Linked DNA regions of Lonchura striata. The protein of the gene in region 1 interacts with the protein of each later gene in a pairwise test. Links are inferred from orthologs where the notes say so. Each region holds a gene or a part of one and is shown in the gene's direction. Other genes may lie near its edges.

What was found.
Region 2: the proteins of GEM (region 1) and KCTD9 interact in binary tests that used the Homo sapiens proteins (3 or more experiments, as listed by UniProt). The two-hybrid records come from large-scale screens. The link is inferred for Lonchura striata from reciprocal best matches to the Homo sapiens genes GEM and KCTD9.
Region 3: the proteins of GEM (region 1) and PDLIM7 interact in binary tests that used the Homo sapiens proteins (3 or more experiments, as listed by UniProt). The two-hybrid records come from large-scale screens. The link is inferred for Lonchura striata from reciprocal best matches to the Homo sapiens genes GEM and PDLIM7.
Region 4: the proteins of GEM (region 1) and AHCYL1 interact in binary tests that used the Homo sapiens proteins (3 or more experiments, as listed by UniProt). The two-hybrid records come from large-scale screens. The link is inferred for Lonchura striata from reciprocal best matches to the Homo sapiens genes GEM and AHCYL1.

Annotation. Positions count from the first base shown.
Region 1 is NC_134603.1:24,314,231-24,321,120, forward strand, and holds the start of GEM (GTP-binding protein GEM), read left to right. Parts: upstream 1-3,884; 5' UTR 3,885-4,045; intron 4,046-5,770; 5' UTR 5,771-5,779; coding exon 5,780-6,113; intron 6,114-6,890. UniProt on the Homo sapiens protein: Could be a regulatory protein, possibly participating in receptor-mediated signal transduction at the plasma membrane. Has guanine nucleotide-binding activity but undetectable intrinsic GTPase activity.
Region 2 is NC_134634.1:2,694,987-2,702,138, forward strand, and holds the start of KCTD9 (BTB/POZ domain-containing protein KCTD9), read left to right. Parts: upstream 1-4,145; 5' UTR 4,146-4,180; coding exon 4,181-4,228; intron 4,229-5,124; coding exon 5,125-5,246; intron 5,247-5,867; coding exon 5,868-5,911; intron 5,912-6,089; coding exon 6,090-6,186; intron 6,187-6,375; coding exon 6,376-6,434; intron 6,435-7,047; coding exon 7,048-7,152. Other genes in the region: CDCA2 (cell division cycle-associated protein 2), read right to left, coding at 409-539, 1,082-1,595. UniProt on the Homo sapiens protein: Substrate-specific adapter of a BCR (BTB-CUL3-RBX1) E3 ubiquitin-protein ligase complex, which mediates the ubiquitination of target proteins, leading to their degradation by the proteasome.
Region 3 is NC_134617.1:3,217,873-3,225,332, reverse strand, and holds the start of PDLIM7 (PDZ and LIM domain protein 7), read left to right. Parts: upstream 1-4,451; 5' UTR 4,452-4,516; intron 4,517-5,717; 5' UTR 5,718-5,719; coding exon 5,720-5,824; intron 5,825-7,460. Other genes in the region: putative ATP-dependent RNA helicase DDX41, read left to right, coding at 1-72, 180-290, 500-636; DOK3 (docking protein 3), read left to right, coding at 1,313-1,369, 2,655-2,948, 3,071-3,164, 3,250-3,422, 3,503-4,219. UniProt on the Homo sapiens protein: May function as a scaffold on which the coordinated assembly of proteins can occur. May play a role as an adapter that, via its PDZ domain, localizes LIM-binding proteins to actin filaments of both skeletal muscle and nonmuscle tissues.
Region 4 is NC_134632.1:1,193,109-1,200,415, forward strand, and holds the start of AHCYL1 (S-adenosylhomocysteine hydrolase-like protein 1), read left to right. Parts: upstream 1-4,299; 5' UTR 4,300-4,378; coding exon 4,379-4,483; intron 4,484-7,307. UniProt on the Homo sapiens protein: Multifaceted cellular regulator which coordinates several essential cellular functions including regulation of epithelial HCO3(-) and fluid secretion, mRNA processing and DNA replication.

The DNA of each region.
Region 1 (6,890 bases):
GATTTGTAAAAATGCTGCTGTGATGTGGAAGGAAAGGAGCTGGTGGAACAAATTTAGTACTCCCTGTAAGCAACTCTAGGAACCACGTCGACCAAATCTACACCACTGAAAAGAGCAATGTCTATTTTTAAAATTTGATGCTGGCACTTTCAGGTGCTTCTGACTGTGCCCCTTAAAATGAATCAATGTTTTATTATTTCTTAATTACTCAGTGTCTTTCTCTGCCCTGTCCCCCTCTTAACACCCTCAGTAATTTACCTCAGGCACATAATCCTTCATTTCCCTACCTCATACATCCCAGTCTCAGAGTGTTTGAACCCTTGCACCTTTTCAGCCAGTGTGAAACTTGACACTGAGTCATCAGATGTGAATTGGGATCAGCAAAGGCAAAGCTGTGGACATAAGTTGGTGTAAGTAATCCAACAGTTCCATTGCTGTGGGCTCAATGCTGCTTCATCCCACATCTATTTTTGCCTTTTGTTCTACATTTGCTCGCCCAGCTGCCTGTGGCTGCCTGTGCAGTAGGAATGGATGGTGACAATGGAGCAGCTTCCCTAGGGAGGGCATGCAGTGACTGTGGGCACTCCCAGCATGTCCAGCACTATCCAGCCCAGCACCCAAATTAATTTCTGTCCATAGCTGCTGTTGTTGGTAGGGCTGAGAATAGCCAGGGTCTGCCAGCACTGCAAGATGTGAGAAGCACAGAAAGGTCTGAAATGCCACAATGGTTTGGAGGAGAGGCAGACCTCATTCATTGCCTGTGCAGGCAACTCACTGTTGGAAACAAAGTCAACAAAGCCAGGCTTTCTGAGGAGAATGATACAGGTGAGCTTCTCTGCTGGATGTATAGGGAGAAAACACACTTTCAAACATGCTGCATTCACTTTTCATTAAAATAAATCTGAATTTTGTTTTTCATGCTTTTCTTTTTCCTCCCTGGAATTCCCCTCCTACTCCAAGATGATTTATGTTTTCTCTGTGGACAACACTTACACCAGAAGATTTGAGGAACTACTTTTACCATCATATACATAAATTCAAACTGGCTAATTAAGTGTCAGCTAAAAAGCACTGCTGTTATATCCAATGGAAAATTTCTGCCTAATTGCTCTGGGCATCACCTGGTCTAATTGTAATTGTCTGGGGAAGGATTGCAGAACTGCTACTCTGCAATGTTTACTTCATCCTGGCTGCAGGGAGAATTCCTTTAAGATGTGATTAATGAAACAGAGAGTGGATAAGATGGAAGAAAAACAATGCCTCTGACTTCTGATATGGCAGCGGGCAGTTACGTTCAAGCACTCGTGTGCTTTGCGACAGCACTGGCCTTATGGTTTGTCTCTTCTCATGCCCGTGCCTTGGGCAGGCATGAGACTTGCAGAAATGTTGACCTGCAACGAGTGCAAAAGGGCTGAACAGACCAAGACTGCACCAGTCTCAGTCCATGGGATTGTTTTTGTCCCTATGAAGGACTCAGTTAATATATTTCAGTAATCAGCCTGCTGTTATCCCTTGTAAGTACCCAGAGGCTAAAAAGGCTGCATCTCTCCCCAGCTTTAAAAACAGTTAAGAATATGTTTCACCCACAGATAGAGTGAGTGAAGCTCATGAGTGCTGATGGCATTCCCTGAGGAGCAACAACGTCACATCCTGTGGAGGTGTATGCAGAATGGGACCTGGAGAGTTAATTGTGCACTGGAAAACCAGAGTAGGCTCAGAAGAGACAGTACAAAGAAAAACACATATGTGCAAGTTCCCCAAGTACAAGCACTTCATGCCATGTTGGGACAACTCTTCTGTATGGCTTTAGGGAAGAGATATATTGTGTAGTTCTGGAGAGACATGTTTTCTTTGTCTGTCTTGAATTTTATGAAGAGGATATGAAAGATGATGTCTAGCAATTCCTAATCTAACAGTAACTACAACTAAACACAAAGGCTTTTCTGCCTTTGGTTTATTTCTTCTGTCTGCACTTTCTGCTGTGATATATGTTAAACATTTGGGTGAGACATTAGAGCCTGCAGTTTTGCTGCAATCACTGGCCATAAATCTCTCCAGTCCTGCAGTGGACAGGTTTTGCTTTTTTACTCAGCAGTGAAAAATTACAGACAACTTACAGAGAGCTATGCAAACCTGAGGTTCATACTGCTCCAACCACCCACTCACCTTCATGGTTTCCAGCATGTTTCAAAAAAACGAGCAACTTCAGTTGGGTATGCCAACAGAAAAGGATTTTTGCAAAGTACTGTCCATGTCACAAACCTTCCTGGATAGAGATCTAGTTACATTTTGTGCAGGAAGTATTACAAGCCCCTCTGTACAACCTACACAGAGGGATGTGGCACTTTGTGCTCTTTGGGATTATCGCTGAGCAGCAGAGGCCCTGATGAGTAAGAGACAGGTGGGGTGAAGATGCAGGACCTGGGGCCAGTTGAGCTGCTGCCAAGCACTGAAATACATGTGAAAGAAAGTCAGGGCATATTTTTGCCCAATCCTACCCTTGGTAGATCTGCATAATTTTCATGTATACTGATGAGTACCTATTGCTTCGTGAAAAGCTCTTGGCCTTTAAAACTTGAGAATGGCTCAGGAGGTCCCTGAGAACCCTCATGAAAGATACAGGAATGCAAAAAAGCCAATGGGAAAATAAGGCAAAGAGATTTCAATTGCAGTGTTAACAAGAGATGTTTTCTGCACATCAGTGTTCCCTTCAATAAAGGTACATTGTCAGTTAAAGATTTGCTTACCTGTAGCATGGAAAAAAGAATTATTCCCCTGTTTGAAGCCAAAGTTGTTCAGACTTCTAGGATAAGAACTTTTCTGTTTGATTCAGGGACCAGGAGATTGTAAATATAAATGTAAATATAAAATGTAAACATGTAAATATAAAAGAAAGCAGTAGGACCTCATTATATTTAATCCAGAGTCTGGATAACTGGCAGCTGACTACAGGGTTTGTTTATACTTACATAAAAGTTGTGGTAGCCCTAGTAAGTAGTTCTGTCACGGTTTCTTACTCTTCCTTTGCTAATGAAGAAGTATGTTGTTGCAAGTTTCAACAGGTTTGGATTTCTTGCCTTCTGGCAAAATTTCTTCTGCCAATCAGCTATGAGGCTATAAAAATTTAAGGACCAGACCCTGAGTTTGTGGCATGTACACTATATAGTGATTGTTCCTGTGCACAGTGTCAACACTGTGTGACTTTGTGCAGACTTTGTGTGTTCTGATGCATTTTTGCCAACATCCAGTTGCAGCAACACTGAATTCATAGTTGGATGTCTTTTCAAGCCCTTGGTAGTAAAATATTGAAGCAGAAGTGAGAAAGAGATGCTTATACAGATCAGAAGACTGGGTACAGTCACTTGGAGCCTGACAGAGAATAACATATTTGTAAATACTGGTGCTTTAGAAACAAAGAAACAAACAAAACCCCAACTAAGCCCCTAGAATTAATATTCCTACTTCTAAAATATTTCAAAATAACATTCAGATATTTTATTCCAGAGAAATGTTTTGTCCAGCAGGGGGTTAAGTGTGTTTTGCCGACAGAGAACAGATACATAATACATTTACAGAATTTAATGCATTAAATAAACTTAGGTGATTTTTAAATCATCATTAATTTTGATAACATTTGAATTTAAAACTCTCTGAGGCTAAATAACATCCATTATTTATTTTTGTTCCACTTTCCTGTTTTCATCACGCAAGAACCAAAAGTGTTTATTTTACTGGCAATATTGAAACAATCACATGATTTTGAGTAAGTCTTTTGAGATTGTTTGCAAGTTTTTCTCTGCTGCACGTCTGCTTTCCCCCAGCTGGGGGCTGGCTGTTGTATGGGAAGGCTGGCCACGTCACGGAAAAGCCCTGTCTCTGATCAGATGGGCTTAATATAAACCAGGTTTGCTGAGAAAGAATTAAAGAGGCAGACCCAAAGCAGGAGAGGATTTACTTCAGCAGAGCTGCTCAGTGTGTCACAGCCCACCGAGGGAGAAGGGCAGGGGGAACAAAGGACTGGACTGGCTGCGGGAGCCTGGCACAAGTAAGAGTGGATTTGGACCCAGTCTTTTCCTGGAGCTGCTGCAGACCCAGGCAGCTAAATGCAGTATGGGGTAGCAAAACCAGTTTGAACTTGGAGCACAGTGTGTGACAGGGACTCCTTTGGCTTTTTTTAATGAGGGATGACAATTTGTGAGAGGCTAAATTGTAAAATATTTGTGTTTGTGATGTTTTTGTGAGTGACAGCTTGTTGCAGGTTGTGAGTTACTCTGTTGTTTGAATGCGATCTGGATTTTCTCATCTGATCTTTTCAATGGGGATACTGAAGGGAAAAGTGCATTTCAGAATTCAACCACAGCAAATATTTAAGTTTGTTTGCGAAGAAGTCTTTGCTTAGTACGTGATTTCTTCTTCAGATGTATCTCTTGCTGACAAAGTTATTGTGACTAGGACCATGAAAACGATCTCCTTTTGCCCCAAAGTACTGCACATCACACAGAAAATATTGTGTATTCTGTAGTAAATTCAGATAGTGCTTTTTCTATATATTTTGTCCTTGGTCCTGCTGGGAATTTAGTCACAGAAGTTTTCAGACAGTTTTTTATGAAGAAGAATAGCAATTTGTACATGTTGCTTTACTGTACTTTTTACTGTTCACCATTTATTATTGAGCTTTGAAAGTAGTTGGGTGAATTTTATGGACAATTATCCTATTTACTGATATGGAGGAGAGAGTCAAGAAACATCAGATATAGGGCAAAAAAGAAAAATGTCTGAATAATGGTCACTTTGGAAACTGGAGTGCATCAAAGTAACTTTCCTAAAAATGGTAGGTATTGGCCTGTGAGAATGACATCACTCTTCCCTGCCTCCAAGCAAGGCAAAATAGAGTTTGCTGAGTAAAATGTAATTAAGAGCTATGCTTATTTTAGAAAAATGAACCTATCTAATTAATTGTGCAGAAATTAAGTAATTGATTTAATATCTATAAATTAATGAGCCTTTTATCTCAGTTCTATCTCTTGTAGAAGCTATAACTTGTACCTCCTCAGAAAAGCTGTTGGATTTCACTATGTCCTCCCTCTTACCAGCCAAAAAGTCACTGTCTGAGGCCGAATCATTCTTTGTTTACCTGGCCACAGACAAGACCCAAATCCACCCCATCACAGCAAGACTTGCTTGCATGACTTTTTGTACCAGGGTTGTCTCAAGAGTGCAGTGAATTATGACTTATTGCTTTCCCAAGAGTTTCAGCTCTTAACTGAGTCAATGAGAAAGATGCTGTACACCCAGCTGCTCCGGCAGCTGGAGGCAACTGGGACCAGTGTCTCTGTCTGTCCCCAGTGATGCCAAAAGGAGGTGAACATTGCCTGTACCACAGGCAGTCTCTCGGCAGGGCTGCAGCTGCTGTGTAGGACCGGTGTGGCGAGCACTGTCCCCTCCTTCTCCTCCTGGGACGCAGCAATGCCTCCCTCTTTCCAGGACTGGGCTGCACCCAGCACAGCCGTGAGCTAGTAAAGGCTGAACAAGATAGGATTTAGCATGTGAGGGTGGTATTATCCCTGGGAAACAGTCTCTGTCTCACTAGCTAATAAATAAAATACTGCTTTGTGCACCACCAAGTACGCTAGAGTGCAGAAAGGCTAATTTTTCTTTTCTCACATATTAGGTCCTTACAGAGGAGCATGATGTGGCCCCTTGAAGCTAGTAAGAGAGCATTTCTAAATGTTTCGTGGGTAACATTTGTGATTTCCCTATTTTTCACTAGGGGTTAAAAATGACTCTCAACAATGTTACCATGCGTCGCACACACAACAGCAGCCCGCACCAGCAGCAGCAGCGATGGAGCATCCCTGCTGATGGAAAGAATCTGCTGGTCCAGAAGGACTCCAATGAGTACAACCCACAGAAACGATACACCATCAGTCCTGATGAATATTACAGAAGGAGCTGGTCCTCGGAGTCATCCGACTCTGTCATCTCCTCCGAGTCTGGCAGCAGCTGCTACCGCGTGGTGCTGATCGGGGAGCACGGCGTGGGGAAGTCCTCGCTAGCCAACATCTTTGCAGGCGTGCACGACAGCATTGACAGCGACTGTGAGGTGCTGGGAGGTAGGTAATTATGTCCTGGGGTGTTGGTGTTTGCCTGCAGTCAGCTCTGCCTGTAGTAATTGGCACAGAAAAAGAGAGAGGCCATTTAATGGAAACCAGAAGTAACAAGTGTTTGGGTCTGATTATAAAAACTGATTGAACTCAAGCACCTCTTTTAAGAAAAGAAGAAAGCAAAATAAGATGAGTAAGATACTCTCCAACAATGACTGAAAGCCACTGAAAGAGAGCAATTCAGATTCTTATGCTGTTTCATTCCAAAATACCAGTTGGAAACTGCCTCATTCCTACCTGTGATGATGCTGCACAGGAGTCTGCTTTAGCTTTCATAGCTAGTCCAACATTGGTGTTACCACTGGCATCACAGGGCTGACTCCTGCTTTCCTTTTGAGAGAGAAAACAACTGAAGGTCCTCATGATTTACAAGAATTAAATAATTTAAAATAATATATAGAGAAAGTTACATCCAAAATATTTGCCATTAGAAGTATGTATGGACTGAATAAAATATATAAAATTTTGAGTAAAAACCTTGTTTCATGTTATTTGCACAGTATGTGCTCCTCCAGAAGATGCTTCCCCCTTCTTTCCCCCCTTGATTTGCTTATGATTGCAAAGTTTAGGATTGCAAAGTGTTTTTTAATCCCAAAGATCAGACTGTGCAGAAGGTGAAGTTGGAGCACCAAATCCTGGGTTATACTGTGTGCAAGGTGTTGATGTGGAAGGGTTGTGCTGCCAAGAAATCTGCTGTGTCTCCAAGGATGTAGTCACTGCTGCTTT
Region 2 (7,152 bases), on another chromosome or scaffold:
TTTAATCTGTTCCTCTAGTCTAGAATTTGCTTTCTGACAGCCCAGGATAGTTCAAGTTATGAACAAATCTGATTAGCCAAGTAACTCATGCTTGAAATTGACTTCACTTGGAAAGAGCAACAGTTTAATTACCCAAACCCAAGTGCAGCCAGCACGGGAAAGTAACAAAAAATACAATTTATCAACAAACTCAACATGGAGAAGAAATTCCAGCCTCTATGCAGTGCAAACAAAACCTGGAACATTCCCTTGTCCTGAAATCAGGTGAGCAAGGGACAACAGCAAATTACTGCCATGGTTATTCCTTTTGCTGGATTCTTCCCAAGACTCAGCTCCCCTTCTCCCAGCACTGGGTGGTTCCTGGGGGGAATGCAAGCTCCCCATCAGGAATTTGGGAAGGACTCTCACCTGGGTGAAAGCTTCTTTCTGTCTGCTGCTCCTCTGCTGGGCCAGGTACCGGATCAGAGTGTTGTTTTCTGGTGATCCCCTCAATCCAATGGTTGATCTTCTCCTAAATTTCAGTGAAGTTGGGGAAGGCCCTGAAAAGGGGACAAGAGGAGAGGTGAAAAAGAAAAACAAAGTACAAAACCACAAAAATGTTTTGTAATACCTAAAGCTTTAAAATGGTAATTTAATCTTTTTTAGAGGTTGATTAATGCTACTTATTCTAAGGTATAAAATTACCTGCTCTGCCCAAGAAACCTCCCTGAGCATATCAAATAATCACGAATCAAGTCTGCCTTTTAGCTTTTCAATTGTTTGTTAGTGTGCACCAACACTTGCAGAATTTGTCTTGCAACTCCCTTGTGAAACAAGACGCTTCATTAACTGGAGAGAGATACACAGGGAGCATTTAACTGTGTAGGATATGCCCAGAACAGTTAAATGGCATAATTACCCTGTCTGTGGCATGTCCTGTAGAGATGCTGCAACAACAACCTCTTGAGAGTGCTCCTGGGCACATCCAAACCCTGCTCACCTGAACCTGCCCTAAATGAGAGCCTCTGGAACGAGGCTGGACTAAAGGAGCTGGAGAATCTCCTCTGAGAAGGACAAAAGCCATCTGTCACCCCAGCCTCACCCGTGGGTCGTGTTCCAAAACCTTCCTGAGCGATCCCAACCTCGGCATTTAGCACAGCAGCAAAATCAACGGGTTTTTTCCTCTGTTCAGACAGCCCAAAATCAGGCTTTCCCTCCACTTGGTCCCTCTCAGGAGTGGAGAAGGCGTTTCCCAAGGGAGCAGCCGGGCTGCTGGACAAATCCTCCCTGGTGAGCAAAGGCAAGGGGGGCTCACTGAGCACATCCCGCCCCAGTGCCCCCGAGCAGCCCCCCGGGAGCTGCCAGCCCACATCAGCCCCCTGGGGCTGGCACGAGCTCTCCTCGGGGCCTCTGGGGCATTTCCAGGCACGTTTTGGTGACCGTGTCCCCTTCCCATCAGTGAAATTCTCCTTCTTGGATGGCCTGATGACTCTGGGCTTGGTCGCTTTGCAGCTCTTCTGGGCTCTTGATGGAGGTAAAGAGGCCTCTTCCTTCTGTTCAGGACAGCCACTCTCGTTTTCTTTAACTTTCAGGGGAGTTTTAGATCCTCTGAACATTGTTTGGGATTTATTTGAAAGAACATCCACTCAGCCTTTGCTGCTGTAATTACAGATTCCTATTAAAAAGAAAATAAAAAACTTATTTACTAAGAGCAAGAACTCACTACCATGCTCAAGCTTCTCCCAAATCCACATTTTTCCTGGACAAGGTGTTTAATAGTGGGGTGGGAAAGGAAATTTATCCCCTAAAACCTACAGGGAAAAGACACAAGGGGCAGGGAGCAGAAAGAAAAACACAGAGCAATAAAAACCTGCATTATAAACGTGCACAGGAGTGGCAAAGGGTAAGGAGCCACAAGGCTATGATTTCACTCTGTTAAACTCCACATGAATATAAAATATGCGTACAATATACAATTATCACAATTACACTGCAACTGTTTTGCTCCAAGTGTTACAATAAATATCAGCAGTTTCATACTACTTTTAATAGCACTAATTAGTAGCAGCAGAAAGAGAATGCAAGTCTTAGAAAGAAATCAGCAGAAGAAACAACACTAGTAATACTTTTTAACTACCATTAGCTTCTAATCTAGCTAAGCTAGATTTTTTTGCAATTCGTTACTTGAAGTGAATGATGCACAACTCAATAACGTGACTCTGAAACTTCACTTCCGCAAACACATGCACTTTTAGCAATAAAATTACGGAAATTAATCTGCTTTACAACGCCTGGGCAAACCTTTTCTTTCTTATTCTTTCTTTTTCTGCTCTTAGGCCCCGGCAGAGCCAATGGCCACAGTCACAGCCACCAGCCGAGGAGGGGAAAACATCGAGCCGGGGGCTGCCCCGGTCTGTAGCGCTCCGTGGGCTCGGGCACTCACAGCCTGCAACCCCGGGAGAACATCCCGAGGATCCCCCGGGAGCGCACCCGGAGCATCCCCCGGGAGAACATCCCGAGCATCCCCCGGGAGCGCATCCCGAATATCCCCCGGGAGCGCATCCCGAGCATCCCCGGGAGCACATCCCGAGAATCCCCCGGGAGCACATCCCGAATGTCCCCCGGGAGCGCATCCCGAGCATCCCCCGGGAGCGCATCCCGAGCATCCCCCGGGAGCGCACCCAGAGCATCCCCGGGAGCACATCCCGAGAATCCCCGGGAGCACATCCCGAGCATCCCCCGGGAGAACATCCCGAGCATCCCCGGGAGCACATCCCGAGAATCCCCGGGAGCGCATCCCGAGTATCCCCCGGGAGCACATCCCGAATATCCCCCGGGAGCACATCCCGAGAATCCCCCGGGAGCGCATCCCGAGGATCCCCCGGGAGCACATCCCGAGAATCCCCCGGGAGCACATCCCGAGAATCCCCCGGGAGCGCATCCCGAGGATCCCCCGGGAGAACATCCCGAGCATCCCCCGGGAGCGCATCCCGAGGATCCCCCGGGAGAACATCCCGAATATCCCCCGGGAGCGCATCCCGAGGATCCCCCGGGAGAACATCCCGAGGATCCCCCGGGAGAACATCCCGAGCATCCCCCGGGAGCGCACCCGGAGCATCCCCCGGGAGCGCACCCGGAGTATCCCCCGGGAGCGCATCCCGAATATCCCCCGGGAGAACATCCCGAGGATCCCCCGGGAGAACATCCCGAGGATCCCCCGGGAGCGCATCCCGAATATCCCCCGGGAGAACATCCCGAGGATCCCCCGGGAGAACATCCCGAGAATCCCTCGGGAGAACATCCCGAGGATCCCCCGGGAGCGCACCCGGAGTATCCCCCGGGAGCGCATCCCTAATATCCCCCGGGAGCACATCCCGAATATCCCCCGGGAGCGCATCCCGAATATCCCCCGAGAGTGCATCCCGAATATCCCCCGGGAGCGCATCCCGAGGATCCCCCGGGAGCGCACCCGGAGCATCCCCGGGAGCGCACCCAGAGTTCCCCCGGGAGAACATCCCGAATATCCCCCGGGAGCGCACCCAGAGTACCCCCGGAGCGCACCGCCGGCATCCCCCGGGAGCGCACCGCCGGTACCCCCGGGAATCCCGGAGCGCACCCCGGGTATCTCCGTGCATCCTCGGGCCCCCCGCTTGCTCCCGGCCACTCTCGGGGTCCCGTTCCCCCCCGAGCCGCCCTCACCTCAGCCCCACGCCCGTCCCGCCTCACGCTTTCAAACCGCGCCACGCCCCTGCGGATCCCTTCGCGCCCCCGCCCCTCCGCCCACCCCAGCGCCCGCCGCAGCCAGCCCGGCTCCGGTAGCACCGTAAGGAGGACGGATCACGGAGGCGACCCCTCACCGCTGCTCTGCCCCGGGGGTCCGCGGGGCTGGCGGGGACAGGGAGGACTCTTTGAGCCGGCGGAGGGATCGCGGGCCGTTTACCGCAGCACCGCGGTGTAGGGGGAGGAAGAAATAAACCGATTAAATGAATTCATTCAACGGCCCGCGCGCACGTGACGGGCAACAACCAATCACAGAGGAACTATGCAAATATCAGCGCTTCTTCTAGTGGCGATTGGCTGCCGCGCCGAACTTTATCCCGCCTCCTCGCTGCCCGTTGGGCGGACGCGCGGCGCTGATTGGCCGCGGGGCCTGCCCGTCAGCGCCCGCCCCTTCCGGGTGTCGCGCGGCGGCGGGCGCAGCATGAGGCGGGTGACGCTGTTCGTCAACGGCAGCGCCCGCAACGGGAAGGTGAGGCCGGAGCGGGGCCGGCCCCGCTCCCCGCGGCCCTGCCCGGCCCTCCCGCAGCCTCCCGGGGCAGCCGCGCCCTGCTGGGGGCAGCGGGGAGCTCCCTCGCTGGGGGCAGTCGCGACAGGGGGGGATCTTTGGTGGCTTGAGGGAGCCGCGTCCGGCTGCTCGTGCGGGGCACGGCTGTGGGATGAGGGCTCTGAGGGGAGACGGGAACCCTGGGGATAATCGCACTGAATTGTTTAAAAGCTCGCTAAAATCATCTCAGGGCTGAAAACTGTGGGGTTTGGGCCCAGGCAGTGCTTGTCCAGCAGAGGAAAAGGCCCTGGGATGCAGTTCCGCACAGAGTCCGTGATCGTGGTGTTCATTTTGGTGTTTCCATCCACATGCTGAGTGCAGACGGCGATGTGACTGTGCTTCAACGTGTAATTCTATTAATTCTGCCCACGATCCCGGGTGCAGGAGTTCATGTGGCCGCATTTCAGCCTTGCACTTCTGCTAAATCACGTCTGTGATGCTGATTTTCCATCCACATCCTGAGTGCAGACAGTTCGCGTGCCTGTCCTTTAATCCCTGTGTTTAGGCAAGGAAGAACACTTGGGAGAGGCTTGGAACAGCACAAGCAGCAATGTTTCTTTAGAGAAAGAAATAGCTGAATTACATTCCTCCAGCACCAACATTTATTCCCTCCATGCTGTTGCAGTGAGTTTTGGTGGGAGCTGTGCAAGCCACCCTGTGTTTGTGTTCCAGCACCAAAGCTGGGCTTTTCCCTTGTTTCTTGGTCAAGATCCAAATGGATTTTGCTCCTCCTAATAGCCCCAATGAAATCTGAAGTAGCAGAACTTTGGAGCGGTTTGCTGGGTTTGTTTTTATTCACAGCCTCTTCTCTCCTCCCCCAGGTGGTGGCCGTGTATGGGACTCTCTCAGATTTGCTCTCTGTGGCCAGCAACAAGCTTGGGATAAAAGCCACCAGCGTTTACAACGGGAAAGGGGGACTCATTGATGATATTGCTTTGATTAGGTGAGGCTCAGCCAGGAAAAGGCAAACCAGAGCTGTGGATTAAGAGACTAACCAGTTAATCCTCCTTAATCCATACCCAGTGCTTTCCCTAAAACCAGATGTGATCATTTCCAGCCAGGATGCCCAAAGGTCCTTTGTGTCTTTCTAACTTCAAACCATTTATTGAGTCAGAACTTGATACAAGCTGTGTTTGAGGCATTTTCACCTCCTCCTGTGTTGATTCTAGGGCAATGGTTGTGCTGTGAAATCCCCACTATTCCAGTGAGCCCTGCAATGGGGGGATTTCTGTAAAAGAGACAAATTCTGTCAGTACTTTGGCTTCACAGAATAGTCCCAGACTGGAGAGAAAAGCAGCTATTTTGTAAGAATTAATTGATTACACAAGTGGTCCCTACCTGGCTGCTGCAGATAAAATCTCTGATGAGGTCAGTCCATTCCAATCCAGTAGAACCTTCAAAATACGGATAAAAAATAGATAAAGAAATTTCAGCTAATAGCCACTGGTCATAATTTACCTGAAATAATCACGAGAGGTTCCACTATCTATTAGATGAACAATAAATTACGATTTAAGTATGATTAACCTTCTTTTTCTCTTCCCTCTGCCCCCTCCTGTCTCAGGGATGATGATGTTTTGTTTGTCTGTGAAGGGGAGCCCTTCATTGGTGAGTCTGTAATTCTTACTTTTTAAACCTTCTATTATTTATTAAACCTATTTAATAGAGTTTATTTTGCATTCATATGAACTTAAGATTTTATTTTCTGGTATTTTCAGAAGATACCTCTTTGTAATTAAAGAATATTAAGGATTTTTCCAGTAATTAGTTTGTTTCTTCTCTGCAGATCCTCAGACTGATGGGAGGGCTCAGGAGGAGCTGACAGGGTCCCACACAGACTGGCTGACTCTCAATGTGGGCGGCAGATATTTCACCACCACCCGGTAAAAATGGTCTTCAAAAACTCCAATAAAGCAAAATACCTTAAAAAGTAACTTACTGTGAAGCAGGAGGTCTTTGATTCCTGCATCTTTCTCTGTATTTTATGTTTGCCACCACAGTTTTGCAAGAAATTAATTCTTAAACGTTTACAGATGAAAGAGAAGTAAAGTTGGGCTGCTTTTGTTTTCTAGGAGCACTTTGGTTAACAAAGAACCTGACAGTATGTTGGCACACATGTTCAAAGACAAAGGTGAGTATGCTGAGATGAACTTTATTATTTTTAAGTAATAAATGAGCAAAGTAGATAAAAGTTACTGTCAGGCTAAGACTGTTGTTCATAAAGGAAAATATGCAAAGTGTGTTAAAGTACCAGAGCAGAACAGGGAATTATTTTTTATTAACTTTATTCCTCTCTTTATCATCTCACCACCTAATGTTGATCATTTGTCTCACAAGCTGCAAACACAGCTCCCATCCATTGTGAGTAGTTTGGGTCCTTTGTTTGTTTACTTGATTTGAGGTTTTTGTCTTGTTGCATCTTCCTCAGTTTTGTCAGCAGAGCAAATGAGCAAACTGCACGAGGCAGCCTTGGGGAGATAATCAGACTAAATTTCAGTGCTGCTTTTATCCTAGACAGGATTCTTTTGTAAAAATCCAGTTATTCAGAGCAGGAACAAGGTCATTTTAAGCTGATTTTTCCCCTCACTCCTCTTTTCCTTCCTTCTGTCTCCAAACTGCCCTTCCAAGTGGAATGTTTGCTATTCCAGTCCCCTTTGGTAATGAAAAACTCTGAAAACTGAAGCAAATGCTCTTCTATCACTACATCAAAAGTAATTTTATATATATATATGTTGTGGAAACAGATGCTTGGGGGAATAAGCAAGATCCTAGAGGAGCTTTCCTCATTGACCGCAGTCCCGAGTATTTTGAGCCCATTTTGAACTATTTGCGTCACGGACAGCTCATTG
Region 3 (7,460 bases), on another chromosome or scaffold:
TTCACCGCATCGGGCGTACAGGCCGTTCAGGCAACACTGGCATTGCCACCACCTTCATCAACAAGGCCTGTGGTGAGGAACAGCACGGGGCTAGGGGCTGGAGGAGGCAGCTGGGCAGTGCCAGGGGGGTGTTCTGAGCAAGCAGAATGGCTTTGCCTGACCTGTGTCTGTGCCCCCAGATGAGTCAGTGCTGATGGACCTGAAGGCTCTGCTCCTGGAGGCGAAGCAAAAGGTGCCACCGGTGCTCCAGGTGCTGCACTGTGGGGACGAGACCATGCTGGACATCAATGGTGAGAGACCCCAGGCTGACACAGGGACCCCTGTGGGGCTGCTGCAAAACCTGGGCTCCAGACGGGACCCTCCAGCTCCCAGTGCCACAGCATTGGGAAGACACTGGTGTAGCCCCTTTGCTCTGGGGTGGGGGCTGCTGTCCTGGTGTGGCACTGTGCTGCCCTGGCGTGGCATTGTCCTGGCCCTGACCCCATCCCTCCCATTGCAGGTGAGCGGGGCTGTGCCTTCTGTGGTGGCCTGGGCCATCGCATCACCGACTGCCCCAAGCTGGAGGCCATGCAGACCAAGCAAGTCAGCAACATCGGCCGCAAGGACTACCTGGCCCACAGCTCTATGGACTTCTAGCCTGGACAATGTGCTGCCCCTGGGTGGGCCTGGGCTTCCTTTCAGCCTAGGGGCCTGTCTTGTACTGCTGTGGCCCCATTTCTAGAATTTTGGTCACTGGGACTTTGCCAGCTCAGGCCCTGCAGGAAATGTATGGAGCTGTGCTGCAACAGCCCATTACATCAGCGGTGTGTTGGGCAAGCAGGTAGCAGTGCCTCAGGGCAAGGGAAAGCCCCAGGTGGGGCCACTGGTCTGCTGCCTCTGCCAGCCCCCTGAAGTGGTGAGGTCATGGTCTTGTGTTGCTCCTCACAAATCCACCCAGTTTCTCTGGGCCCATCTCCCTCACCTGGATTTGTGCATTCTCAGGTGGCTGTTCCTGTCTCCCCAGACATGCTGGGAGGATGCAGCCAGGGTGAGGTGGAGCATGCTGTGCTCATGTCAGGCACTCCCCGAGGTGCTTCCTGTGCTCTGCCCCCGCGTTCTGCCCCACTGCCCTGCTGTGAGGGGGAGGGACAGGCACACGGACACCTCCTGCAGCCCAGCCTCTGCCCCCCATCCCACACCCCAAAAAGGGGAAGTCTCTCAGAGACGGAAGTCTGCCCCATGCCTTTCCTTCGACTGCAGCAGTCACATTTTCTCTGCTGCGGGTAGCCTGAGTCCCTTATCCTTGCGCTGGCTGCCCAGGTGAACTCGGCCCATGGAGAGACCAGTGAAGGATGGGATCCTTTATGTGCAGCACACCAAATTTGGAAAGGTAAAGGGTGGATTTGGGGTTGGTAGAGGGTTTGCTCTGATTTGACATGATGCTGGGCCTGGGGCTGGGCCCTTAGCAGCCTGAGAAGGGGCAACTGCAGCAGTGGGGGAGCCCTGGGCTCAGCAGCCCCATAAGTGGGGTTTTCCCGTGGGGCTGAGGGGACTCATCTGTGTGGGCACCCACTCTGGCTCACGTGTGTGTTGGGTTCTTCTTGCTTGGTCACCACGAGAGTCTCAATGGAAGAATAAACGTGTTAATATGGCGCAGCTTCAGCATCTGTGTGTGTGTGTGTGAGCAGGACCCTGGGCCAGCACGTGGGACGTGTCCCTGTGACCTCCATCGGCCTGGCCCTGTGGGGCCAGTGCCATACAGCAACACCCTCATGGCTTGGGCTGCTTCTCTGTGCTTTTGGAAGGGGCACTGAGTGCTGCAGCTCTTGGGGCAGGGTATGGGTGACATGGTGAGAGTACCTGGGGTCGGGCCAGCTCCAGAGAGCAGTTGGGTGTTGGCAAAGTAGGTTCTGCCGGCACACTGGTCACGCCATGGCAGGGTGGCCATGTCCTGTGGGGGTCTCAGTGGATGTGTGGGGCTGCAATCGCACTCTGACCTCCCTGCTGAAGAAGAACCAAGCCCTGAAAGTGCAGCAGGCAGCCGTGTGTGTGAAGAGCTGGTGCCCTGCCATGTAGGAGGCAGGTGGGCTGGGGGTGGTGGGTATTTTGGGTGCTTGGCTGCATGTGGTTCCTGCAGGGCGGAGGCTCTGCTGCACTTTTGAGGTACATGGTGGCACGCGCCCCCGCTATCCCATGACAGACTGGGAAGGTGCTGGTGCTACAGATGCTCCCCTGGGAGGAAGCAGGCTGCTGAGCAGATGTGAAGCTGCCAACAGGAGCCTTAGCAGCTCAAAATGGCTTTAATTTGCATCAGGGTCTGTCCTGAGAACAGCTCGAGAGCTCAGCTATAGGTCGGCAGGCCAGCACTTGCAGCAGGGAACAAAGAGCAGGACCTGGTGCTCAGGGAGCCAGGAGTGAGTGTGACTCACCCAGTGAGCCATGCCAAGCCTGCTCGGGGCAAGGCGCCCCTCTGCCCAGCTTTGTGCCTGCCCTGCCCCACAGTTCAGGGGTCTGTGCTGGCCCCTGTTCTCTGTGCCCTCCAACAGCATCTGGTGGGTGCAGGCCAGGACTCCCCAATGCCCCTCATGCCCTGTATGGAGGGCAGTGCTGCCAGATGCAGCAGCCAGCTCTTCACTGATCCATTTTTTCCCTGCTTTGCCCTTTCCATGCATTAGAGGTCCTGGAGGAAGATGAGAGCCCAGCTGTTCGCTGCCAGCCCGTCCGGCGTGGCCCGCATGGAGAAGTTTGATGTGCGGGATGATGGCACGATGCCAGAGAAGACATCCCTGCAGCGGTGTGCCCGCCGGGTGATCCGCCTCTCTGACTGCGTCTCTGTGGGCCCGGCGGGCACAGAGAGCTGCCCCAAAGCCACCGCTGCCTTCTACCTCACCACCACGGAGAAGAGCTATGTGCTGGCAGCCGAGCAGCGCGATGAATGGATCACCCAGCTCTGCCAGCTGGCTTTCCAGGTACCAAGGGGTCTGGCAGAGCCCAGAGCCCTACTTGGGTGAACTGCGAAGCTCCAGGGCAGGCAGGGGATTTGTCCTCCCCACCCCCTGTCCCAGGTCATACTCACATCTCTTTGTTTCAGGGTGCAAAAGAGACAGTGCCGAGTAGTGCCAGCACTCAGCCTGGCCCCGCTGTCCCCATGGAGGAGAACTCCCTCTACTCGTCCTGGCAGGACCGTACGTGCAGGGGTGGTGGAGAGGGCTGGGGTGGGCTGCAGCTCAGTCCTGCGGTGCTGACCTGTGGCTTGCTCGGCTCTCACAGTGACTGAATTCTTGGTGCTGGTGGTCCAGACAGACGCAGCCACCCGCTGTGGGCTGCACGGGCACTACCTGCTCTCAGCCCTTCCCCAGAGCCTGACGCTGAAGGACCCCCAGTCTCGCCAGCCTCTGCTCACCTGGCCCTACCCCTTCCTTCGCAAGTTTGGCCAGGATCAGGTGCGTTCCCCACTCCCTTTTGGGGCTGTTGCCTGCCCAGGGTGGGTGGCAGCCCCTCACTCTCGCCTCTGACCCTGCAGGCTGTCTTCTCCTTCGAGGCTGGCCGCCGCAGTGACTCCGGCGAGGGCACCTTCACCTTCAGCACCCCACGGGCCCCTGAGCTCTGCCGGGCTGTGGCTGCTGCCATTGCCTGCCAGCAGCAGGGCAAGGACACCCTGGACCCCAGACTCTTCTGTGTCTCAGAGCCCCAGCTCTTTGCACAGGGCCTTGAGCCCCAGCCCTGGGGGTCTGGGACCGATGATCCCCAGCCCAGCCCAGCCCTGGGGGGGACACAGCCCGCCTCCCACCCCCCTGCCAACCTTCTCCGCTTCACCCCACCAGAGCCGGAGGGCTCATGCCCCATCGTCTATGCCTCCATCGCCCGGGGCCAGCAGCCCCTCTTTGTGTCAGGGCAGCCAGGCTCTGGGGAGCCCTGGGCCGTGGGGAAGCCGCTCCCTGAGCATCTCTACGAGAACATCTTCACCGCAGAAGCACATCCAACCGGGGCCCAGGAAGAGGAGGAGGAAGGGCAGTGGGAGCTGGGGCGCCGGCAGGCCCCCGAGGGCCACAGCAGTGATGGGGGGCCCGTCTATGACAACCGGGCCGCCCTGGCACAGAACCCGCGGGCCGCGGGCTGGGGGCGCGCAGGGCAGGCGGCGCTGTCGGGGCGCTCCAGCCACAAGCCTCACAGCACCCTTCGGGCCAAGCTGGTGCGGCTGCTGAGCCGGGAGAGCCCCGGAGCGCGGGACTGGGCTTGATGTGGCCGGTGCCGTTCGGTCAATAAAGGCCCTGCCCGGACTCGGCTCCGCCGCTGCTGCCGGGGGCGGGGGGGGCGGGCGGGGGCAGCTCCAGCCTCCCCGCTAGGGGGCGCCGCCGCGCCCGCCCCGCCAGGCAGAGGCGCGCTCGGGGATTGGCCGAAGCGCCCGCTGGCTCCGCCTCCCCCCGGTCCTATATTAGTGGGGCCGGGCCGGGCGGGGGCGGTGCCCGGGTTCGAGTCCCGCGTCCGCCCGCTCCGCTCCGCTCCCGCCCGCTTCGCCGGGCCCCGCTGGCCGCGGGTGAGTCCGGGGAGCCGGGCCGTGCGGCTCCGTCCTCTGCCGGGGGGATGGGAGTGTGAGGGGTGGAGGGCTGGGGCTTGGCTTAACGGGAAAGCGGGTGGTCAGGGTCGGGCCCGTGTGGGGCAGAGCCGGCGTCCCCAGCCCCTGTAGGGGGGCGGCGGTGTGGGATGGGGAGGGGTCCCGAGGCGCCCCGGGGTAAGGGTGGGACCGCCCAGCAATAAGCAGGGCTGCCCAGCCTGTGCACGCCGGGGACCCCCGTGCAGTCGGGGAGGGTGTGGGGTCTCCGCCCGCCCCGTCCCGGCGCCTCGCTGGGGCTTGCGCGGCTCCCGGGCGCCGGGAATGCCTGACACGCAGCTCTTCCCCCGGCCCTCCCGAGCGGGGAGCGGGCTGGTGTCGTCTTACACGCCTTATATAGACCGCACCGGCCCGGGGAGAGCGGGGGCACGCTGGCCCCCGGCCCGTGCGAGGCGTGGGGAGCCCCGCCGCCGGCCCTGGCCGCCCTCGGCAGGAAGGTCCTGGGGCCGTTCGGAGGGGTCTGGCGGCTTCTTCCAGGTAAAAGGTGACGGGAGGCTGGTGCTGGCCCATCTGTCCGGAGCCTTGGCCGGCTGACAGCTGTCAGGCAGGGGAGTGCCGGGATTCCCTCCTGCCGAAGCCCCGGAGATGGGCTCGCTCCCAGGGAGCATCTGCTCGGCCGGCTGCCGGAGCGCCAGCCCCTCTTCTCTGCCAGGCGCCTCGGGTGGCATCACGCAGCTCCTGTGCTGCGGCTGCTGCTAATTCATCCGGCAAAAATGCTTCTGGTTCCTACCGTTCTGTACCTGCTGTTGATTCTCTGCGGTCTGAACAGCCTTGGCTCTCAGCAGCAGGAGTTCCTGGGGTGCTGCAAAGGAGAGCACATCCCAGGTTTGGGAAGAGAGCAGAGCCCACAGACACTCCGCTGTGGGTGGCAGCAGGGCTGTGCCTGGCTTCCTGGCACTAGTCAGTGTTAGCCTGGGCCCCTCAGCTCTGATGTTGCTGGAGGAGATGCTGATGGATTTGGGGTGCGTCTCTAACCACAGTGTAGGATGATCAGGGTGGAGTTACAGCTGGAAACGTGACCTGCCTCCTGTCCTACCCTGCCAGGCACTGAGCCTTCTCCTCGCCTGCTCTTCCTGCATTGTTTCCACATACCCTAACGCTGGAATCACATCCTCTTCCCTTGCAGAGATGGGCGACATGGAGTCCTACAAGGTGATGCTGAATGGGCCGGCACCCTGGGGCTTCAGGCTGCAGGGAGGGAAGGATTTCAGCATGCCACTCTCCATCTCCAGGGTAAGAGAAACCGAGGCTGGTGACACCCATCCTTCCTCCTGCCTCTGTGGGCGGGAGGCCGCAGTGGCTGAGGCAGAACCCTACGGGGGATGTAGATGAGCTGGGGCCCCGGGAATGCTGCATCCTGCCCTGCCTGGCTCCACGTAGCCTCCTTGGTCCCTTATCAGCTGCAGCTCAGCACGGGGGTGTTCCGGGCAGAGAGCTGCAGCAGAAACATGAAATTCTGCACAGCCTCTGCAGAGGGGGGCAGGGGAGGCCCCTTCCGGAGTGTTCCCACTACAGCAGGAGGGGATCTGCACTCTGAGATGTGGGACTGGCTTCCTGGTCTGCACCCCAGCACTGGGCTTGGCATCCCAGGACTTAGCCAGTGCCCTTCAGCACCCTCATTTCCCCAGCACAGCTCCCAGCTCTGTGCCTGTGGTCATTCCTGAAATGGGCAGGGAGAGGAGGAAGCTGCACTGCTACCTGCATGGATGTGACTCCCTCCGCAAAATTCTCCCATTTCTCCAGTGAGAGCCATTGGCCACAGCTGGTTGTGCCTGTGACCGCTGGTTTGAGCCTCTCCTGTGGCAATGTTCCCGGGTCTGACCCTGACTGTGTGCAGGTCCCCGGCCCTGGGCGGGTGCTGGCCACAGCTTTGGCCACGCAATTGCCTTATAAGCCTTGGAATGTGAGTGCATCGCCTGTGCCGCTGGCGCTTGGGCAGCTGGCACGGAGGCGGCTTCTCAAAGGACAGCTTTGCCTGTGGCATCGAGTGCTGCGTGGGGACCTGCCCCTGGCTCGAGCTGGGCACTGCACACGTCCCCCAGAGGGCACAGATCTCCACAGCATCCCAGCATGGAGCATGGGCCCTGAGGGCACTGTGTGAGGCTGGAGTCGCCTGTGCCGCTGCCCTGGGGCCTGCTGATCTCTGCTGAGCACGCAGAGACAGATTCAGCGAGTTTATTCTCTAAAAAATGTTTCTCTTGGCTGCGAGCCAGTTCTTAACAAAGGGTCTGGTTGGATGGAGGAGCCTCCCAGAGCCTGGGGCAGGGGCCTCGTGAAGCAGTTCTCGGTGAGGCTTGGGCAGTGCTGCTGTCCTGGGCAGGGCAGGAGCAGCAAGGACATTCCCAGGGGATGCAGCCAGATTTGGGGGCTCTCTGGTGAGGCTGGGCTGCATGGCAGGGCGGTGTGCTCTGATGGGAAAGTGTCAGCCTGTGCTGCTCTGCACTGCAGAGGCACCCCCAGACCCAGAGCTCCTGCCCAGAGCATGCCGCTGTCCTTGGCTACTGCTTCCCATGAGCTGGCTCTGCTGCAGAGGCTGGAAGGAAGCATCCTGCCCTAGCTTTGTGGGCTGCAGTGGGGCCCTGCTCTGCAGGTCTGCAAGGGTGGGCAGCACAGGACAATGCTGTCCATTGGCTTGACTTTCAGCTGTGTCCATCACTGTGGCACTCCTGGGTGAGCAGTGAAGCTGTTTCAGCTCACTGATCACACAAAAGAGGTGCCACCATGGTCCTGCTAGGGTGCTGACACGGGGCCTGCTAGGGTGCTGACACCCTGGCTAGGCAGGCTGTAAACCATGGTCCCTGTGCAGGAGCTGTGATAAGGACTGCAGTCTGGATAGCTGGATGCTGTGTGGCACCTCCTGGCATCTGCC
Region 4 (7,307 bases), on another chromosome or scaffold:
AGAAGGAGGGGGTTCCTGGGCGAGGGACTGGTGTAAATCAGGATAAAAGCCCTGATGCAGCAGGAAGTCTGGGGCCAAACTCCTGGTGGTGTAAGTCACCAGTTTACACTGTGGAGGAGCTGCTCCTGGGGGAGAAAACTTGCCTTTACCCGTGTTGGATTTATTTTGCCTTTTTTTTTTTTGTTGTTGTTGTTGTTTGGTTGGGGCTTTTTGTTGGTTTTGGGATGTCTTTTTTTTTTTTTTTTTATACAATGAAATCCTGAAATATTTTATACAAAGGCATTTAAAAGTCTATTTAAAGAAAATAATGGAAAACAACTTGTATATTTAATATTATTAATAAACAGAGATGTGTAGCTTGGTGTAAGTCTGGGATGCAAGGGGGGACTGGAGATTGTGGCTGCCCTGTCACATCCCTGGGGTCCCTGAGGGGGTGACTGGGGCTGAGTCCTGGTGGTTTTACCCTGACCTGCTTCCCTGGGGATGCGTGTGGGAGTTCGTGGCCACTGCAATGAGGGCAGAGGGATTCATCTGCCCTTCCTGCCCCAGCTCTGCCGGCACCGCTGAGAGCTCCAGGCACCGGCTCTGGTGCTGTGGCCCCCCAAAATCTGTGTGAATGGTTGGGAAGCAGCTGTTTAAAACAAAGACACTTGAGGCAAAGTTTCCTGGAGCACTTTGCTTAGAGTGACAGCACTGGAAGAGGCATTTCCTCCCCCCACATCGCTCCCCCTGCTTTCTTTCCTTCTTTCCAGGAGCAGGGCAGCCCCATACCCTGATCCAGCGTCTCCAGGGGGATGCCAGGGGGCTCCCCATCACCCTGGGTCCCTACCAGCCCATGGGGTGTGCAGGGTGAACACCCCCCCTGCTCATCCGAGGGGGGGGCAAGGGCAGGAGGGGTCTAGGAGCTTTCTGTGAGTGCCAGGGCTGAGCTGCTGCCTTGTTTGCTGACAACCAGGATTCCTCGAGGGGAGCTGACTCAGCCCAGCCCTTCCTCTCCCCAACAGCAGCCGGGGGTTTCCCAGGTCCACATCCCCTTCCCAGGGAAGTGGGACCTATATATATCCTGCTGGATCCGTGCCACGGTCATTATGGTCAGATTTGGGGGGTATTTGAGGCCGGAGGCTGCTCTTAGGGGTGGGCACCGTGCCCGGGTTTGGGGGTGCTGAGGGCAGCGAGTCCCTGGCCTGCTCCAGGATGCTCCAGGGTGCTCCAGGGTGCACCAGGATACACCAGGCAGCTCCACAGCTGCACAGGAGAGGGTGGCTGGAGCTGGATGAAGGCAGCTTGAAGCTAAGGCAGAGCTGGGGGGCAGAGCTGGGGGGCAGAGCTGGGAGCATCCCAGTTTGCTGGGCGGTGTGGGGACCACCAGTGCCCACCCCTCTGTGCTTACACCTCGCAGTTGCTCATCCCTGACTTTTTCTGGCTGCTCTGTGTGCTGTAAAAGCATCTGGAAAATGCAGGAAAAAAGCCAAACTGTCTCCCTGCCCTCAGGTTCGGGCCAGGAGGGTCCCTGTGCTCCTCATGTTCCCAGCTGGTGCCTTTTCCCCACCCTGTGTGGGAGCAGGGATGTGATTCCCTGCCCCGGGCACCTTCCACCCCCAGCCCCTGCAATCTGGGGGGCAAAACCTGCTCTCAGCCCCCCACTCAGGAATCCCATGGAGCTACATCCCTGTCCCTCAGCACCTGAAGGGGAGGGGAGAAAAGAACCCCCCATCCCAGGATTGAGTGGGGCACTCGGGGGTCCCTCCGGGGGTCCCAGATGGGTTTGTACTGCAAAAAGGTGCTTTGATGGGATGAGAACAGGGAGTTTGGGGGAAAAGATGGATGGTGGGAGGGGAAAGCATTGACAAGAGGCTCAGGGGACCTGAAGCATGGGCTGGCATGGAGTGACTATGGTCACCAGCACCCCCCCCCCGGGGGTCCTGGGGGTCCCCACAGCCCTGCTGCTTGTGGCATTGGCAGGGCTGGGACATCTCTCAGGCTCATCCCGTTCTCCCGAAACCTCCCAGGCACTCGGAGACCCCCCCAGATGTCCTGAGACCCCTCCCAAGAGCCCCCAGAGAGCTCTGCCCACCCTGGAAGCCTCCCCAGAGCCGCCGCGGGCACCGCAGAGCTGCTGACGGGGCAGAAGCAGCGGAAAGGCCCCGGGGCCGCGGTTCCCGGGGCACGGCGGCTCCGGGACAGGGTTTTGGCCGAGGAACTGCTGCAGGATTTAGGTGGCCAGAGGCCCATTTTGTGGCCAGACAAAGCGGTTTTGGTTAAAAACCGTTATCTGCTCTTTCCCCTGGGGATTTTAACCCACACGCTGATTTTTTTTTCCCCAGGTTGTATTTTAAGGGAGCAGCCCCGGGGAAGTGAAGGCGAACAGGGCTCAGAGCCCTCCCTGCTGCTGGGGGGCGTTTGGGGATGGGGTGGTCCGGGCTCAGAGCCCCCCGCCTGTCTGTCTGTCCTGGAATGGCCCCTAGAGCCCGTGTGGGACTCTGCGGAGCCGGGAGCGCTCCGGGATGCGGATGCGGCCCCTCAGTGTCCCTGGCCCCGGGGACAGGCTGGCTGTGACCCTCCCGGGAGCGCAGGAGCCGGCAGAGCCCGCTGCGGGGCGGTGAGCAGCAGGAGTGCGGGAGGAAGCCCCGGCCAGGCTCAGCACTCCCAAAAAGTGCTCAGCACCCCCACGCTGGGCTGGGGATGTGGGCGGGTGATTCCGAGCCCCGGTGGCTCCGCTCGGCTCGTTAATGGGTAACGAGGGCCGGGAGGCGCTGCCCCGAGCCCGGGGGGCTGGCACCGCGGGGGTTAACACCGCTGGGATGGGCACCCACAGCTCGGGACCTGGGGATGGACACCCAGAGCTCCGGGACCGGACACACACCTGGGGATGGGCACCCACACCTCCGGGACCCGGGGATGGGCACCCACACCTCCGGGACCTGGGGATGGGCACCCAGAGCTCCGGGACCGGACACACACCTGGGGATGGACACCCAGAGCTCGGGACCCGGGGATGGGCACCCACAGCTCGGGACCTGGGGATGGGCACCCACACCTCCAGGACCTGGGGATGGACACCCACAGCTCCGGGACCTGGGGATGGGCACCCAGAGCTCGGGACCTGGGGATGGGCACCCACAGCTCGGGACCTGGGGATGGGCACCCAGAGCTCGGGACCTGGGGATGGGCACCCACAGCTCGGGACCTGGGGATGGGCACCCACAGCTCTTTTAGTGTCTATACTTATTTAGAAAAATTGTATATAAATTAATATAATTTATGTAATACGCTTATATAATTCAGTAATTTAATATAAATTCATGCACACCATATATATATGCATAAAATTAATGTATAGAAATTTTATAGCTTTATAATAACTTAGAAATGTAAATATACATAACTTATAGATATAAATAAATTAACATATTTTGCACATTTATATATAATTAATATTTAATTTATGTGGTTGCTATTTAATGCATAAAATTAATCTTAATAATTTTTTCATTTAGTCTAAGTAAGGAATTTAATTAGTTTTAATTTAAAAACTAATTAAAAACTATTTTAACTAAAAAACTAATTATATGCATATATAATTATTTATTAATTAGATAATGAATTAATGATGAATTAATTATATATGAATTATATATTAATTACATATTAATTATATAATTATATGCACTACATAATAGTACATATTATATGATATATTATAGAAATTTATATGCAATTTTATTTATGTTATATAATTATTGTGGTTAATTGGGATTTGGCCCGCGCTGAGGTTCCTGACCACGCCCCCCTGAGTGACCACGCCCATCACAATAACCACGCCCCTCACCGTGACCACGCCCCCTGAGTGACCACGCCCCCTGAGTGACCACGCCCCCGTTGGCCCCGCCCTCGTTCCCGCCCCTCAGCGCCCTCCCCTCCGTGTCCGCCAGGGGGCGCCCCGCCCCTCGCCCGCTCCCCCGGCGGCGCCGCGCGGCCTCGGCAGCCCGGCGGATGACGTCACGGCGCGGTGACGTCAGGAGGCCCCGCCCCTGGCGCGCCGGCCGCAGACCCGCCGCAGGCAGCGCGCCGGCGGCAGCGAGCGACCGAGCGGGACCGGCCGGGCGAGCCGAGCCGAGCCGAACCGAGCCAGAGCTAGAGCCAGAGCCTGAGCCAGAGCCGGGCCGAGCCAAGCCAGAGCCAGAGGCGAGCCGGGCCGGGCTGAGCCGAGCTAGAGCCATAGCCGGGCTGAGCCGAGCCGAACCGAACCGAACAAAACCAAACCCAGCCGGGCCAGAGGCGAGCCGAGCCCGCAGTGCTCCCGGCCCCTCCGCCGGCCCGTGCCCCGTTTGGTCCCGCCGGCGGCCGCGGCCCGCCCCGCGTTCCCCGCCGCACCAGGATGTCGGTGCCGGAGCCCGCCGGCGGCGAGGAGAAGCAGGCCAAGGAGGTGGAGGACGCCGAGAAATATTCCTTCATGGCCACCGTCACCAAGGCCCCCAAGAAGGTAGCGGGGCCGGGACCGGGGGCTGGCTCGGGGTGCAGCCCCGGCTGCCGGCGGAGCGCTGTGCCGCAGGGGCACGGGCTGTGCTGGGCGCGGGGAGCAGCCTCCTCCCGGCGGGGGCGAGCAGCCCGAGCTGCAGGGGGAGCGGGGCGAGCGCCCGGTCTGCGGCGGGACTGGCCCCTGGCGGGGCATGCAGCCTCCGCTCCGGGCGGGGAGCAGCCCCCGGCCGTGGGGAGCAGCCTTTGGTTGTGGGGAGCAGCCCCCGGCCGTGGGGAGCAGACCCCGGCCGTGGGGAGCAGCCCCCGGCTGTGGGGAGCAGACCCCGGCCGTGGGGAGCAGACCCCGGCCGTGGGGAGCAGGAGCCCCCGGCCGTGGGGAGCAGCCCCCGGCCGTGGGGAGCAGCAGCCTTTGGTTGTGGGGAGCAGCCCTCGGCCGTGGGGAGCAGCCCCCGGCTGTGGGGAGCAGACCCCGGTTGTGGGGAGCACCCTCAGCTTTGGGGAGCAGCCTTTGGTTGTGGGGAGCAGTAGCCCCCAGCTGTGGGGAGCACCCCTCGGCCATGGGGAGCAGCCCCCGGCTGTGGGGAGCACCCTCAGCTTTGGGGAGCAGCCTTTGGTCGTGGGGAGCAGCAGCCTTTGGTTGTGGGGAGCAGCAGCCCCCGGCCATAGGGAGCAGCCTCTGGTTGTGGGGAGCAGCCTTTGGTCATGGGGAGCAGCCCTCGGCTATAGGGAGCACCCCTCGGTTGTGGGGAGCAGCAGCCCCCGGCTGTGGGGAGTACCCTCAGCTTTGGGGAGCAGCCTTTGGTCGTGGGGAGCACCCCTCGGCTGTGGGGAGCAGCAGCCCCCGGCCATAGGGAGCAGCCTCTGGTTGTGGGGAGCAGCCTTTGGTCATGGGGAGCACCCCTTGGCCATAGGGAGCACCCCTCGGTTGTGGGGAGCAGCCTTTGGTCGTGGGGGGACACGACCGTGCCCCGGCTGTGGGAGGAGCGGCCCCACAGGTGTGGGGCTGTGCTGGAAGGCTGGAACTGACTCAGTTTGATGGATCAGTTTAACTGGGAAGTGGGGCTTGTCCCCATGCAGTGGCAGAGAGGGGGACTGGCGAGGGGGCTGGGGGTGGCAGGTATGCCCCAGGGGGCTGCTGGTCCAGTTTGGGTGGGGAGGGAAGGGTTTGGGTGCTGGGGAGAGAGGGGTCTGTACTGGGGTACAGCCCTGGCCCGCATGGGGGTGAGGGGAGGACCAGTACCTGCAGGGCAGGTTCCAGGGGGCTGGGGCCAGCTCGGGTCAAGCCCTGGGGGCAAGAGCAGGGCTGTGGCATAGGGGGGATGCAGGGGGACAGGGTGACCCCGGGAAGGGGACAGGCAGGGTGGGCCCCTGGAATGGGACTGTGGCGTGATAGAGCTTTGTGGTGGGGACAAAGCAGGAGGGACCTGTCATATGGGAAGAGCCAGAAGCAGCAACCTGGAATCCAGCTGTGGGTCACTCAGAAGGGTGGCTGAGAGATTTCAGAGTGTTGAGTTTTTTTGGGGGCAGGTTCTGTTGGAGGTGTGAGTGGGAGCACCTTTGGGCTCAGGAAGAGGCTGCCGAGTCTCCTCAGTGCCCCTCCATGCCTGAAGGCCTCACAGGAGCTCTGAGATCTCCCGGTGCTGCTCCCACACCCCTGTGGGGTGCTCAGGCGGCACTGAGGGTGGGCGAGCGCTGGTCTTGCCCCTGAAGCAGGGTTCAGGACCCCCGTGACCTGGGGAGCTGGCCCTGAGCTCTGGGCTCAGTGCTGAAGTTTCAGCACGGTCAGGGAGGCAGGTCTGTGTTCCAGGCACTGCACAGAGCTGTGCAGCTGAACATTGCGTTCCCCTCGGGGCTGCAGCCGCCTGGAAGCGGTGGAAGCAAAGGCGGAGCAGTCACAGAAAATGGGAACATCCTCCTCCTTCGGGGGAACCTCTCCTGCCTGCTCTGGCCACGGCTGGGACTCGGGAGTGTCTGGCCCTTGGGGAAGGTCAGCTGGATTTGAGGTATCTTCTCTCCCAGGGAGCAGGGCTTGAAGACTGGGCCCTGTTTGTCTGGGCTGTGGACATGGCCTGGAGGAACGAGCAGAGGAATGTGGGGCTGGGATCTGCCTCTTCCAGCAGTGGCTCAGCACAGCTTCAGCTCAGGAATTGTTTTTACCTTTTCATAACCATCATCTCTGTCAGAGCTAACAGCAGGAGACTGCTCCAAGGAGACAGCAGGCTGCTAATCCTGTAGCATCCCATGGAACCAAAACACCTGTGGTAAAAGAGAGTCCATTGAGCATCCTCAGAGGCAAGTTTGCCATCCTCTCAGGGGGGTGAGATGTATCCCCAGAATTTTCTGCTGCAGACTTGACTGTGCAGCATGAGGAGCCTTGGTTGGACTCAGTGGCTGCTGCAGCTTTTCCTGGCTGGGTGAGGATATTGAAGGTGCCCAGAGCGACACACGACATTTGAGGCTGATAACATCAGAGATGGGGAGCGAGCTGAGCTGAGCTCAGGGAATGAATCGCTCCGGGCTCCTGTTTTCCTTGCCTGGCTAGTTCCTGCAAATAGTGCTGGGGAACAGCAGAGGCCTTGGCAGGAGGATGAAAGACCAAGGAAGGGAGAATTGCTCTCCTGAGATAAGCTGTTGAGTGCCCCCAGCTCTGATGCCTCAGAACATGATTGCAATTAAGCCATTAAAACGCCCTTCTGATTCCCTGCAAGTCAAAGTGGTTTTTGTGCCAGCTGCCCTGGACCTCCTGGCATGGTTAGAGGTCAGTGGAGATGGTGGAGAGAGATGATTTACCAGCACAGAGGTGGGCAAGATAGTGCTGTGCTGCTGAA